2 linked regions of the Elephas maximus indicus genome follow. The protein of the gene in region 1 interacts with the protein of each later gene in a pairwise test. Links are inferred from orthologs where the notes say so. Each region holds a gene or a part of one and is shown on either strand. Other genes may lie near its edges.

The links. The genes of interacting proteins can lie anywhere in the genome.
Region 2: the proteins of CREB3 (region 1) and CGRRF1 interact in a two-hybrid assay, tested with the Homo sapiens proteins (2 studies listed by BioGRID and IntAct). The two-hybrid records come from large-scale screens. The link is inferred for Elephas maximus indicus from reciprocal best matches to the Homo sapiens genes CREB3 and CGRRF1.

The regions. Positions count from the first base shown.
Region 1 is NC_064827.1:44,514,055-44,522,079, reverse strand, and holds the start of CREB3 (cyclic AMP-responsive element-binding protein 3), read right to left. Parts: upstream 3,013-8,025; 5' UTR 2,865-3,012; coding exon 2,736-2,864; intron 2,635-2,735; coding exon 2,487-2,634; intron 2,411-2,486; coding exon 2,346-2,410; intron 2,232-2,345; coding exon 2,142-2,231; intron 898-2,141; coding exon 791-897; intron 693-790; coding exon 624-692; intron 1-623. UniProt on the Homo sapiens protein: Endoplasmic reticulum (ER)-bound sequence-specific transcription factor that directly binds DNA and activates transcription. Plays a role in the unfolded protein response (UPR), promoting cell survival versus ER stress-induced apoptotic cell death.
Region 2 is NC_064828.1:66,802,057-66,809,611, reverse strand, and holds the start of CGRRF1 (cell growth regulator with RING finger domain protein 1), read right to left. Parts: upstream 3,006-7,555; 5' UTR 2,846-3,005; coding exon 2,742-2,845; intron 1-2,741. UniProt on the Homo sapiens protein: Able to inhibit growth in several cell lines.

The DNA.
Region 1 (8,025 bases):
GGAGAGAAGGGAGAGAAGAGAGAGTGAGCACACCCTGGCCTGGTAACTGAGATACAATGAAACTCTCCTGTTAAGGCCACCCCCTCCATCTGTGCCCTGGATCATCTCTTACTTTGTTTTTGCCAGTGACCACTTTTCTGCAGATAAAATGCTTAAAGCTCCCCATTAAAAACAAACAACAAAAAAAATAATCTCTCCACCCTGACAAATTCCTTTGGCAAATACCTTCAGTAGTTCTGCCTGATCAATGATGCCCATAGTCCTCACCAGGCATTCCATAACCTCTACCTTCTGGTCCCAACTCACCTGTGTCAGAGTTCCAGCCAAACCAGATGGTGGTGTGTTCACTCTGCTTGAAATGTTTACTTCACCCCTAGAATCCTATCTACTATCAAATGCCATCTACCCACTGAAGTGTTTCTTCCTCCTTCCTTTCTCTTTCTTGGTTATAGTTATTTGTGAATTCTGCCAGTACTTTGAGCTTCCTGGACCCACATTGAAGGCTAAGTACCAGATTGCATATAGGAGCTGCCCAGTTAGAAGTCAAGTGTGGAACAGGGGAAAGAGTGGGGCAGCATTAAATGGGGGTGATGGGAAAGGACTAATGTTGGAGGGTTGCTTACAGATTCTCTTCCTCCAAGAGCTGCACCTTGTTCTGTAACTCCAGATTCTGGGCTGTGTATTTCAAGATCCTGGGGGGAATAACAGGGATATGACCTCTGTCTTCCCTTTAAAATCATTTCCAACTACCTCTGTTCCCCCCACCCTTGAGCCCTTCTTCCTTTCATACCTGCTCTCTAAACCTCCCACATACACCTTCTTCTTCCTACGACTCTCTTGAGCAGACTTTTTGTTTCGAATCTTCCTCCGTACTCGTTTGAGGGCTTGTTCCTCCTTCTGGAAGAAGATGGGGGAAGGGGCATCATCAGAGGAACACTGGACCGAAGAGTTGGAAGGCAAATGAGTTCAATCACCTGACCAGTATGCACTCGGCTTCTGTGCAGAACGCCGCTGGGAGCCAGGTGTTAACATCTCTGTTAATAAGCCCGGACCACTTTTAACAATTTTATATTTTTTTTAAATCTCCCAAGCCCACATCTGCCTCCTTATAATTTCTATCCATTGGACTGACCTAGTATCTAATCTTTGAAGCCGTGTTGAACAAACCTTCCTTAGTTATTTTAAGACATTTGACATTTCTTCAGAGTTTAAAAAAAAAAAAACCTGGACAAAAATTTTATCTCATTTTATCTACTCTCCTCAGGATGGATTCCATCCTGTTAATATCTGTTAAATATCTGGGTTCAAAACTCAATACTAAGATGTGCCCTGGCAAATACAAAAGAGAACAGGATAGTCACTCCACTTCTGAAGGCAACACCTCTACTGATGCAGCCTCCAAGTCCCATTCACTCAGTAGCCGTATCTTCCTGCTGACCTGCTGACTCACTGCACTTGCAAGAAATTTATATTTAAATTCCCTTAACCATTCTGTCAGTGAACATTGATTTCATCACAGTTGCACAATACCGGGCCTATGAAGTCACTCAATAAATATAAACGCAGGAATTTATATTTATTTTTGTTATACTGTTACTCCAACCTTACTGAATGATCTAAAGCTTAATTCTATAATTCAGCCAGAAGTGGATTACTACGAAGTCAATGAAATCTAAGTGTCAGAGACCCTCACTTGCACAAGGCTCTATAGTAATATTGTGCTGATAATTATGATTTTTTTTTCTTAATGAGAATACTGAAATTGTATGTTTCAGACCCCACAAAACCAGCATTTTGCATCCATCATATTACCTATATGCCCCAGCTTCCCATTACCAACAAATTTGCTAAATTTCCCACCTCTGTCCTTTTTTGGGAAACTCTGGTGGTGTAGTGATTAAGTGCTATGGCTGCTAACCAAAAGGTCAGCGGTTCGAATCCACCAGGCACTCCTTGGAAATTCTATGGGGTAGTTCTACTCTGTCTTATAGGATAGCTATGAGTCAGATTGACTCGACAACAGTGGGTTTGCTTTCTTGGTTGGTCCTTTTTCAAGTTACTGATAGAAAATTAACAAGATTAGCTTACTCGAGACTCATAAAACCTCCCTCCAGCTTTTGCTCTGCCAATGGGAGACTTACCTTAGTAAGAGGAAGTGTCCCAGGCAGCGAAAGCCCCTCCTTCTCCAATAGCCTCTTCTCCTCCTCTGTCAGTATCAGTTCCTCAATCTCCTGGGGTTATTGAGGGTGGGAGGGAGAAGCAGAGTTGCAAGGGGTTGTCAGAGGAATGGGGAATCCTGCCCCCATTTGCGCAATGTAGGAATAATCCTCCTGTTAGTCAAGTACCTGCTCTGCAGGCTCCTTCACCTGCAGGGGAGTCATCTGGGCCACCTTCCCACAGCTCCCACTGTCTGCAAAAGAAAAAGTATGAATAGCCAGACCCATGAGCACTTTCCTCCCCATAAACCTCAAATATTTCAGACTCACCTGTATCTACGGAGACATGTTCCTGTGGGAGAGAGTAGTTGTGATCATGACTGACAGGACAGGGATTGAAGGAGCTGAGAGCCTTCAACGATGCTGGGGGACTTAGCAGGGAACTCAGGAAATCCTCCACATCCCAATCACTCAGTACCTGCACATGGTTCAATAAACAGGCTTTGACCTATCACCACCATCCCATGCCTCATGGACGCCCCCAGCCCCGTGCCTCACCTACTCAGAACTTCCACTCACCTCGGAGAGCGGCAGCTCCCAGTCCAGCGGAGCCTCCAGGGCCTCCTCCGGCGCCACCCCCAAATCTCCGCTTTCCTCTAGCAGAAAACCCAGCAGGTCTTGGTCGTTGGGACCCAGTGCCAGCTCCATACTACAGACAAGAATGGACAGAAACCCGGGGATTCACCCCGCCACCCAGCTCCAACCCCCGAATTTCAGGCACGAACCACAGCCCAGTTGTTTGTTGGTCTCGGGTCCCTCTTCGCCGCACTTTGCCTTTAGCTGTCACTCTCACGCGGACCCGCCTCCCAGATCCAGTCTCTGCCGCTTCCAACACAACGGAAGTAATACATCTCGCCACCATGGCACTCTGGGACATGGAGTTCCCTCCAACTCGGAAGTGGCCTGGGTGCTGCGCCACGTCCCAGGAGCTATGCAAATAGTGGGGACGTCCCGTCAGCCTCCGCACACCCTGAGGGCGGGAATTCGGGTGATCCGGCTCCGCCTTCGCCTCGAGCGAAAAAAGGAAGGATTCCAGACTAAAAGGGAACTCGAGCACAGTTCGGGCGTTTCCTCTGGATTGTGCGCGCCCTTGCTTCCTGCCGGGGAGGGGCTGCCAGTCTTCGGCCGGCTGTCGAGCATCGAGAGCTGGGGCCAGAGCAGCTTCCTGCAGTCCCGGCAACCATAGAGCGCGGGCCCAGGGCGCCGCCCGCGGGTGGGGGACGTTCCGGGGACGGAAGTGGCCGAGAGAGAGCCTGTCGGCGGGAGGGCGAGGCCAGAGCCCCAGAGCGACCGGGAGAACGACCGGGCTAGCGGGCCGGCGGGCGGGGCACAGAGCCGGGCAGCTCAGGTAGGCCGGACCGGGCCGAGCTAGAGCCCCGGGGTGGGGCCGCAAGGCCCGGCCCGGGAGGCGGGCGGGCGGGGCCGCTGGCAGTCCTGCGTCTGTTTCGGGTCCTTTTGGAGAGGTCAGGGTCCAATATATCTCGGCTTGGTCTCGGAGCTCAGTAGGCCGTTTTGCGGGAGCCAGGCTTTTCCTAGGCGCAGTCCTTTGCCTGCGGTGGGCTTTAGGGAAGGTGAGGAGTGACCACAGTGAGGCGCAGGGCGGTAATAGGTTTTGAGGTTAGCTGATAGTGGATATGTGAGTAGGAACGCTTTGCTAAGTTTGGGATTAGATGAGATTGGGTGGTGGATTTAACGTTAGCTTTAAGAGTTATAAAGCCAGGGTCGAAACTTCGAGTTATTAGTGTAAATTCAGCCTATTTTATATGTAAAGTTTAGATTGAGGCCATTATTTTGTTTTCTGGGATGGACAGCCTAAATCAAAGTTAGAGTTCAGGGTCGGGTTAAAGGTCAACAACAGGAATTAGGTTAGACGCCCATTTTAGGGATTACAGAAGTTGGCAAGGTCAATATTAGGGATACATAATGATGGGGTGGGTTAGGAATAAAAATACAAGTGAATATTAGTTTTAAGACTCAGCATTTAGAGTTAAGGTCAGGGAGTTTGATGTTAACGGTAAAGTCAGGTCAGCATTTAGGATCAGGCATTGAATATGGTTCTCTGCTAGGAAAGAGACGACTGTCAAAGCCAGTATTGGCAATCAGGAAACTGGTTAGGGTCAGAGTTAATGTTAGGAATTAGGGGGCAGCTTTAGGGGTTATGATTGAGGTCAGGGTAGTTGATCTCAGGTAGATGAAATTTAAGAAGCTGTCACTAGGTAGATGCTCTTGCTTTGGGGGAAAGTCTTATTCCTAGGTAGTCACGGGGACTTCTTTAACCCAGAATGATGACAATCTGGGCTGGAAGTGCAGGCAACTAGGAATCCAGCTTCTCTATTCTACTCTCTAAATCCAAGTTTCTTTCTGTGGCCAGCACAAATGGAGGATTGGGGTTTCCTGGACTGTGTTGTTTACAAGGTGAGAGATAAGAAAGGGACAGGGGCCCAGGAGATGCACAATGTCTAGTCATAAGTGGAGAACTACCGAGGGGAGAAGAGACTGATGACTAAGGGGGAAGCAGACCAAGGAAATGCTCTTGTCATGGGAGAAGAGGGTGGCCGAATCTACCGAAAGTTAACTCCTACTGCTCCCTCATTCCCTAGATATTAAGCCCTCCTCTCCAGCTCTCATCCCTGGCGCTGCATTCCACACCCTTCCTGCATACCCCCTTACAAAGTACTTCCCTTGCCTTTAACTCTCCATATTCTTCATCTGCTTACCACCTATTCCCAACCTCAGTTCTGCCAGGCCTTCCCTACTTGATTCACACATCCTACCTTAATTTACCCTTATCCAAACCTGAGCTTTCCCATCATGTTAAAACACCCTTCTACCTTTTTCACCCACTCATCCATCTGCATACCATCTGCTCATCTGAGCAGCCTCCCCAACCCAACACAACTGCCACATACCCCCAGTCCCTGTGCCATCTTCCAATTCTAAGCCTCCTTTAATTTCTTGGTCCAATTGAAGATCCCCTTCCCCCACTCCCCAAACAGAAAAGAGGAAACGAGACCCAAAGAGGAAACTGGGTCTTGCTGATCCCACGCCCAGCCAGGCCACTGACCACACCCCCATTTCGCTCCCAGCCTGACCCAGCCACTGACCACAGCCCTAGCCCCTACCCAGCCTGACCCAGCCATTGGCTGCATCCCATCCCGCCCCCAGCTCCAGCTTTACTTAGCCATTGCCAATGTCCTCTCACCGTACCCACACCCCACCTAATTTAGCCACTGACGACAGCCCCATCTCTTTTCAATCCCCTGTAGCCTGACCTGGCCTCTGACCTCACTCCATCTTTTCCCTGAGTCTGACTTAGCCACTGCCCATATATTCATTCCTCTACTTCCCCTGTGCTGATCCAGTGACTTATCATATATTCATCTTTCCTGCCACCATCATTCCACCATCTCTAGCCTGATGTAGTCACTGACCACGCCCCACCTGCTCCTACCTGGCTACTAACCACATACCTGTCCCCTTTTCCTGGCAGCCTCATCCTCACATTCCCAGCTCAACCTGATTCCTCTCCCCTTTACCTAAACTCAAGCTGTCCCAGAAACTAAGTGGCTACTGATGACAGGAAGCTATGGGACCCCCACCTGACTTTAGGCCCTGGTCTCTGAGGGTTGACAGGACAGACTTGTCAAGTCCTGTCAGTTCTACTTCTTAACCTTTTTTCTAAGTGACATCTTCCTCTCCACCTTCTAACTCTGGCTTCCATATCTCTCACTTGTGCTAATATGGTATTTTTCTAACCAATCTCCAAGATAACTGTCAGAGTTATATTCTAAAATCCAGTTCTGGTCATGTTCCTTCTCTGCTCAAAAGCCTCCCTTGGCCACTTGCTGCCCTCTAGTAGGTAAAATACCTCATACTCCTCTCTAGTCCTCCCTTGCCTTTCTATCCGAACCCTAACTTCCCCACCACTGCTCCCTTGCAGGTACCCTGTGCTTCAACCAGCCTGCCTACTCACTTCCCTGAATGCTCCTCTGCGATTTCCTGCTTCTCCACCTTTGCTTATGCTATTCTCTGCCTGGAATGCTACCCTTGACTCATCTCCGGCTGGCGTAGTGGAGAGAGCTTGGGCCTTGGAGTCAGAGAAACCTGAGTTCGGATCCTGGCTCTACAACTTGTTAGCTGTGTGACTTTGGACAAGTACATTTGAACATATACTTCTTTGAGTCTCAGGTTCCTAGTCTGTAAAAATGGAGATAAGGGCACCTACCTTGCAGGGTTGTTGTAAGGATTAAACAAAATTATGTATGCAAAGCAGTTGATACCTTGTCAATAAATGATAGATCATTATTTCTTTTTTATTATCCTTGTTTTTAAAAATCGAACTTCAAATGGCACGTCTTTCAGGGAGACTTTTGGTTCCACTTCCCTCGCCTATTGGGATATCTTCTCTGCATACACGCCTCCAGGCTCTTAGCTCATCCTGCTCTCTATTAAATTCTGTGCTTAGCTGATCCGCTTTTCTCCCCTTGAGGGCAAAGGCTACGTCTTACTCAGCTTAGTTCCCAGCCACTGGATAGTGTGACCCAGGGCCTTCTCCATAACAGCCCTCAAGGAATGCTTCCTGGGTGAATGGAGAGAGAATGTATACTGAATGGAAGGAGAGATGTTGGGGTAGGGGGCTGTGTGCTGGAGATGAAGATGTATTTGTGGGCAGCTGCATGTATGGATGGGCCTACACGGGAAGATAAAGAGGCTGTAGCGGGATATGTATAGAGCTGTGAGATTGAGATAACATGTTTGTAAGGAGATACTAAGTAGGTAGCTTATTGGGAAGGAGCTCTGTGCATAGGCTGGGGTGCATTTGGGGAGGATGAGTGTGTGTGGGATAGGGGTGTAAGTGGGGAGGGGCTGTGTCGGGGGAGGTTAGGTCCAGCCCTTCAGCTGCCCAGTCCAGCCCTAAGTGAGGCTCCAGCAGCCTGAGGCCGGATATGTCAGTCTCACCCACAACTCCCCCCGCCCCGCCCGCGGTTACGGGCTCAGAGGCCAAATTTGGTAACAGACTGAGTGTTACTCCCCCAACCCTCCTACGCTCTGCTTGTCTTCAGCTTTCTCTCTCTCTCTCTGTCCCTCTCTGTAACTCCCTGTCTTCCTGCAGCCCCCTTTGTGACCATCTGCTTTGACTGTGTTTTCCACGTACCCCAAGTTCCTTCCCACCAGTACACTTAAATTCCATTCCTTGCTGGGATTTGACCTCCTGTACTCCATCACCACCCACCCCTACCCCCACCATTGCCCAACTCCTCTGGAATGCATTTCAGGAATGTCTTGAGGGAGGAGGAGTTCCCTGGGAGGGGGACACAAGATCGGGGGGCGGGGGGGGGCTGATGTTGCTGTTCCATAAAAAAATGATGGAAAGGGGAGCACAGTTGTCAGACCAGAGAATGAACAGGCTAGTTTCTCCCCACACTTCCAGGCATCCTGTTCCATGCCACTCCCACCCCCAGTGCACTGTTCAGTTCCTTCTCTTCCCCTTGCCCTTTGGAGCAATGTGGAGGCCCACTTAGGACTGGCCTGTGAGTGAGGGTAGGCATGACTCAGTCTCTTATCGGGGTCCCACCAGAGGTTTCCATGCTTGAGGAAGAAGGGGGTGTCCATATGTCCGGAGGAAATGGGGGGAGACATGTACTTTCAGCTTAGGGCAAAGGAACCTTTCAGTCCTGCCCTCAGCTCCTCTGGCTCCTCCAGCTTCTCTGACCCGCCAGCCCTCACTCTTTCGTGTTCAGCGACCGCACTGTCAGGTCTGTTCAGCTATTGGGAAAGGTATCCGAAGAATGGGGAGAGGGGCAGAGAG
Region 2 (7,555 bases), on another chromosome or scaffold:
TTCAGGGGACATCTAGGTCAACTGGCATAACAAACTGTATTAAGAAAATGTTCTGCATCCCACTTTGGAGAGTGGCATATGGGGTCTTAAACGCTATCAAGTGGCCATCTAAGATGCATCAATTGGTCTCAATCCACCTGGAGCAAAGTAGAATGAAGAACACCGAAGACACAAGGAAAACATGAGCCCAAGAGAAAGAAAGGGCCACATAAACCAGAGACTCTACCACCCTGAGACTGGAAGAACTAGATGGTGCCAGGCTTCCACCAATGACTGCCCTGATAGGGAACACAACAGAGAATCCCTGATGGTGCAGGGCAAAAGTGGGATGCAGACCTCAAATTTTAGTAAAAAACCAGACTTAATGGTCTGACTGAGACTGGAGGGACACCAGAGGTTATGGCCCCCAGACTCTCTATTAGCCCAAAACTAAAACTATTCCCAAAGCCAACACTTCAGACAGGATTAGACTGGACTATAAGACATAACATGATACTAGCAAGGAATGTGCTTCTTAGCTCAAGTGACACATAAGACTATGTGGGCAGCTCCTGTCTAGAGGCAAGATGAGAAGGCAGAGGGGGACAGGAGCTGGTTGAATGGACATAGGAAATACACAGTAGAGAGAAGGAATGTGCAATCACATTGTAGGGAGAGCAACTAGGGTCACATTAACAATGTATGCATAAGTTTTTGTTTGAGCAACTGACTTGAATTGTAAACTTTCACTTAAAGCATAATTTAAAAAAAAAAAAAAAAAGCTAGTGAGCAGCCATCTAAGCTGCACCAATTGGTCCCAACCCACCTGGAGCAAAGGAGAATGAAGAACACCAAAGACACAAGGAAAATGTTAGCCTGAGAGACAAAAAGGGCCACATAAACCACAGACTCCCTCAGCCTAAGACCAGAAGAGGTAGATGGTGCCCGGCTACCACCAATGACCGCACTCACAAGGGAACACAACCGACAGTCCCTGACAGAGCAGGAGAAAAGCTGAGTGCAGAACTCAAATTCTAGTAAAAAGACCAGACTTAATGGTCTGATTGAGACTGGAGGAACTCTGGGAGACATGCCCCCCAGCCTCTGTATTAACCCAGAACTAAAATCATTCCTGAAGCCAATTCTTCAGACAAAGATTAGACTAGACTATAAGACATAAAATGATACTCGTGAAGAGTATGTTTCTTAGTTCAAGTAGATACATGACTAAATAGGCAGCTCCTGTCTGGAGGAGAGATGAGAAGGCAGAGGGGGTCAGAAGCTGGCTGAATGGACATGGGGAATATAGGGTGGAGGGAAGGAGTGTGCTGTCTCATTAGGGGGAGTGCAGCTAGGAGCACAAAGCAATGTGTACATAAATTTTTCTATGAGAGACTGACCTGATTTATAAACTTTCACTTAAAGCACAATAAAAATTATATATATTAAGAAATAAAACCTGGTGGATTAAGATTAACAAATTGTGTAATTGGTCTTACCTTCCCCCTCAACCCCAAACCAGGAATTTTATGCTCTGTTGGTGGCAGGGTGGGGAGCTGTGTTGAAATGTTAAAACAGTGATTAGTTCCTAAAGATGGCTTATATTTTCAGAAAGTGATATAGGCCTGTGTCCTTCCTTTAACACTATATATATATATATATATATATGTATATACATATATATATATATATACAGCCTAAGGGTAGTTTTAAACTCATTTTACAATTTACTCTATCAACTGCTATGTTCTCTTCTGCCCCTCTGTTCACACTGTGTTCTCTGAAATGCATTTTCTTTTCTACTATACATATTCAATTCCATTTATTTTTCAAAATACTCATTCTTCAAAATTCAGCTCCTGTCTCTCCCCTCAGCAGAGCCACCTGACCTCTTCAGGCCACAGCTGTTATCTATCCATTCAGAACCACTGTTTAATCCATTTGAAATCACCATCCTCTCAAAGGAACTTTGGAGGCTGCAGCTTAGAAAAATCTGTTGTCGTCTAGTAAGATAGTTTCAACTAGCTGTATTTATAAGGCTTGTCTAAACATGATACAATGGCATCTCCTCAAGAGAGAAATTTTAGAATCCCTGAGCTAAAAGAATTGTTCGAAGACTAACAGTCTATTCTTCTTGACTCAAATAGGTATATCCGTTGGTGTAAGTAATCTCCAAGGTCTCTTTCAGCTCTAAAATTACGATTCCATAGTTCTTACCGACTAAATTATACTTCAAAATGTGTGTACAAACCATTTAAGTTCTCAAACGGTAAGAAAGTTCAGTTGTAAATTACGCTGAAAGATCTAAGGCCAATGCTCGGTTCAGGACAAAAACACAATAATCAACCTCATTACTGTCCACTCCCAAGGACGGGGGTGCACATCTGTGCACTGTGCCGCAAGTGACTGATTCACCGTGTGTACTGAGCACGCAGTAGACGCCAATCCGGGATAGAAAGCCGTTGGTCACTCTACCCCAGGCTCATCACTTTGGAACAAACCTGGTAGAACACCCCAATTCAGCATCACCCCAGGCGCTCGCAGCAACGGAGACCGGACAGAGATGCAGGGCAGTGACGTAGGTGTTTACCTAATTTTCCTCCCGGGGCCAGCTGGAGCCCTTAGCGCTGGCTCCCCTAAAGCCCTAGGCGCCCCAGCCTTCGTCCGCGCTCAGACTCCGATGCCCCCCGAAGCTCACCGCGACTTTCCCCCGTTCCCAAATCCGCCCCTTCGCCCCTTCCGCCTAGCCCTAGGGCACTTACCATCCCAGTACCAGGCCGGTGGTCACGATGAAGCAGGTAAAAACCACCGCGATATAGAAGAGCGGTGAGTACTCATAGAGCGTCACCAGAAAGACCGCAGCCATCAGGGTCCCTTTCTGGGCTGAGCCGAAATTCGACGGCCCGCCCAGCCGATCCCTGCCTAGCCTAGCCCAGCCCAGCCCAGCCCCCTTTGCCTGGGTAAAAGCACTACGGTGCCCCAGAGAGGACAAGCTTTGTGGGTGCGCACTCGCCTGGGATTCTCGTAGGCTAGACCTCGGGGCAGCCTCGCCGGCAGCAGGAGCCGGCGTGCCAATCACTACGTCGCCTGCAGGCTCGCCACGCCCCTCCCACTCCCGTCCCGAGCTATTGGCTTCGCAGAGGGGCGGGGCCGCAGCTCGCACCGCCCCGCACTCCGAGGGTTTGGCACCCAGCGAGCGTCTTCTTCACAGCGCATCGTCTTAGCGGTCGTCTCTTTTTCTACACGGGGGCCCACTCCGTCGAAGACTTAGGCAAAATTCAGGCTCTCTGATACCGAAGAGAAGCACAGTTCGAAATCCACATGCACCGGTTGTAAATCCTGAATCCCTGCAAATTAGATCCAAGGCACATTTGGAGGAGGAGTGAAATAATGCCACAGCTGTACTTGTTTTATCTGGAAGATTTAGATATTGGCACTGTACAAAACACGAAAAAGAGTCTCTACCGCAAGCACTTTGTATAAGCGTTGTCAGCCTTTTCTGATTGGACTTAATGATAAAAGAAAATCAGCACCCCGGATCCTCACAGAAATTAATCAACCGTCCTCTCACTCTCACATCCCCCCTTTTTCTCCTCCTCCTACACCCCTCAAATTAGATATTTAAACGTTTTTGTATTTCTTTTCACCGTATTATTATTTGCCGAGCAGAAGTTTTCGAGTACAGGAAAAGGCCTAAATCCCGTCCCCTCTCATTTCTCGCTGAGTCAGCTCCTTCGAGGTAGCCTTCCTGGAAGACTCTCACACTTGCACTGACTTCTCATTGGTCTGCAATTTAGTCCTAAGGCCACACCTACCCACAGCAGAGACCGGGAAATGTACAACAGTCTTTTATTCTGAACAGTAACATCCTCTGCTACAAATCAGAGTTTTGTTACCGAGGAAGAAAGGGAGAATGGACACTGGCACAGGTAACTAGTAGCCTCTGCCACAGGTACCTGGGTGGTGCAAGTGGTTTGCACTTGGCTACCAACCGAAAGGTTGGTGATCGAACCCACCAGCATTGCCTGTTTCCATAAATACTATAGCCAAGAAAACCCTGTGGAGCTCATTTCTATTCTGTAACACACGGGGCTGCAGTGAGTGAGGGTGGACTCCATGGCAGCATACTCCCAAAAAACTGATAAAACTGATGCTGGAGAAAGATGAGCTAAGCTTGTTCTATGGCTTTACATAACTCCTTGGCAAATTACCATGTTTGAGAAGTTTGGTTCTGCAACATAATATTTAAAGACTATATACTTGATTTATTTAGTCAACTCTCAATTGTTGGGTAATTTTTCAATATTATAAACAATCCAGCAATGAACACCCTGAAAGCTAGATCATTTCCTTATGATAAATTCCTAGAGGTAGAACTTGTGATTCAAAAAGTATGTACATTTTTCAGACTTTGGAGAAATACTGCTCTCCAGAAGTTTTGTAGCAATTTATACTCCTCTTTCATCCACAGCTTCGTCATCATTTGATATTGTCATTTAAAAATCTTGGCCAATTTGAAAGACAACTTTATTCAAATAAAATAATAAAGAATTATCAGAGTTAAAACAAAAATATAGGGAGTTCCAAGTTAAAGTGGTATATTACATGCATCTAATTTTTCTCCCCCCCAAAACTCCACTAAAATTACAGTAAAGTGATTTTAAAAAACAGGAAGAACATGAAATAAAATACCAGCAGTAACATAGTGGAAGATGAAAAACAGATGAACAAGGATAATCCACTAACTAGTCATGAAAGCCAGATCCCAAACTAGGAGTGGGGAAAACTGAGACACAGCCTGGTTTACTCTGAAGAGTTCTCAAAAAAGCAGGAACTGACAGAACCTCAACTCAAGCCCTTATCATTTCCCACTTGGATATCTGTTACAACCATTGAAACTTGTCACTTTACTTCCAAAATAGATTCCTTCCAGCGCAGTCTGCACACTGCTGTCTAAGATGACTTTTCCATAATTTGTATCTTACTCCATTCCACTGCTAAAAATCTTTACTGTTGTGCTATATTTCCTTGAGTATTGAGTCTAAGTTCCTTGTTTGGCACACCCGCCTCCACACGACCTGACTCCTACTTGTTTACTCATTTTCCACTCCTTTACTCATTCAGAAAATATTATTGAGTGTCAGATATGAGCCAGACACTATAGTAGGTGTTATTGTTAGTTGCCATCAAGTCGATTTCGACTCCTGGGATACAATAATAAGGAAAAAATAATGTATCTCAATTCTCATGGAGATTATCATCTAATGGAAAAGAAAAACATTAACCAAACATAATCTTGAGCAAAATGCAAAGGCTAAATTACAGTAAGTGCTATTAAGAAGAGATATATGGAGCTACGAAAGCATATAATGGGGCAATTGATTTGGTAAAGTAGACCATGGAAAGCTTCCCTAAAGAACAGATTGTTAAACTGAGATGTGGTGGATTTGAACTGCCAAACTTTTTGATTAGCAGCCATAGCTCTCAGCCACTGTTCCACCAGGGTTCGTTCAAAAGTCCAGGAAAGAAATATTGGTAACTCTGACTAGGAGGATGGTGAGGACTTACATACAGTACAATGGATCGTTAGTTAGAAATGGGTTTATCTGTAAGATAACAATAAGTAAATAACAGTGTCTTAATCAAGATAGAAAGGAGCCCTGGTGGTTCACTGGCTATGATGGACTGCTAATCAAAAGGTTGATGGTTTGAAACCACCAGTGACTCCACGGGAGAAAGATGTGGCAGTCCGCTTCCATAGAAATTTACAGCCTTAGAAACCCTCTGGGGTCGCTATGAGTTGGAATCAACTCAGGGAGTCAGAATCAAGATAGAAGTTTATTTCTCTTTTAGGTAAATCCAGAAGTGGGCAATTCAGGCAAGGTCAATGTAATGCTCCACAGTGTAAGAGACTCAGGCTTTTCCTATCTTGTTCCACCATGTGTGGCCCCCATTCCTAAAGTAACCTCATTGTCCAAGATGGTTGCTCCAGCTCCAGCCATCATGTCCACAGTCATGCTAGCAAAAGAGAAGGGAGGGAAAATCAGACACCACTGCCATTTAAGGAGACTTTAAGGACACACTTTCTGTTTACATCCATTGGCCAGAACTCAGTCTAGTGTCCACATTTCACTGCAAGAGAGGCTGGAAATAGTCTTTGTTCAGGGTGGCCATGTGCCTGGCTAAAGTTAGAAAGTTATATTACTTATAGAAGAAGGAAGAATCAGTTTGGGGGAGAACTAGGAGTCCCTGTCACAGGAAAAATGTACAGAACCTGCCAACAGATGAATGAATGTGGCTGTCATAAACTGAAATTAGATCATAAATCTCCAACCTCTCGCCACTCATCCTCTCTCCGGCCCTCCCGCTATCATCTATGGTAGGTTGAAAAATGGTCCTCCAAAGATATGAGGTTCCAATGGCTGGAAACTGTAAGCGTTACTTTATTTGGCAAGAGGGTCTTTGTAGATGTGATTAAATTAAAAATTTTGTGATGGGGAGATTATCCTGGATTATCTGGGTGGGCCCAAAATACCATCACAAAGTATCCCTAAAAGAGAGAGGGAGAGCAAGATTTCACACGCACACAGAGGAGAAGGCTATGTGAAGACAGAGGCAGAGGCTGGAGTGATACGGTCACCAACCAAGGAATACCAGCAGCCACCAGAAGCTGTAAGAGGCAAATAAAGGATTCTCTCCTGGAGGAAGTGTGGCCCTGGTATAAGATGGAGATGCAGAGCTGGATTTCAGTTCAGTAATACTGATTTTGGACTTCTGGCTCCAGAACTATGAGAGGATCAATTTCTGTTGTTAAGCCATATTTGTGGTAATTTGTTAATGCACCATCCTCTATAAATACCAGTCTCTAGCCTTACTGAATTACCAATCGCCTGAAACACACGAGAGATGTAGATTTGTGAGGCATGAAGCATATACTGTTTGGGATGCCCACTTTAAGAAAGTGAACTAAAAATTACAAATATAAAATTAAGTATAAGGCCTTGAAAGGGGCCCATGCAAATGAACGGCTCCAAAACTTAAGCTTCACTTGCTTTAGGGTGCTTTAAGCTGCACTTTTACTTTATCTGTCACCAAAATTAAAATTGTAAGACGCTGTGGATTGTTAAGTACATCCCAATTTTAGAGAATTAAAATGGGGGGGGGGGTTGATAACTCTTAACATCAATGAAATAAGCTGTTTGCACATCCCAGAATTGGTCAAGTGCCTTCGCTCTTCCCTCTTCTTTCTTCTTTCCTTACCCTACTTCTCCTGCCTAACTTCTAGTTGTCTTTAAGGACTCAGTTCTGAAACTCCTTTCTGGACTCTCCCCAACCCTTGGGGAGATGCCTTTAGCACAGCACCCAGTGTGTATCTATGTGGGAGCCTCCTGACCCTGTTGTAAGCATCCACTTGCTAGTTTGTCTACTCCACTGGATACCCAGCTCCCTGAGCACAGAAATTCCATCTGATTGACGTTTACGTCACAAGTGCCTAGCCTATGTCTGGTAGTTGCTCAAGATGAGCTTATCGAATGGATAAATGAATGAAAGAAGTTCTTCTCCATGGGATTTCTTG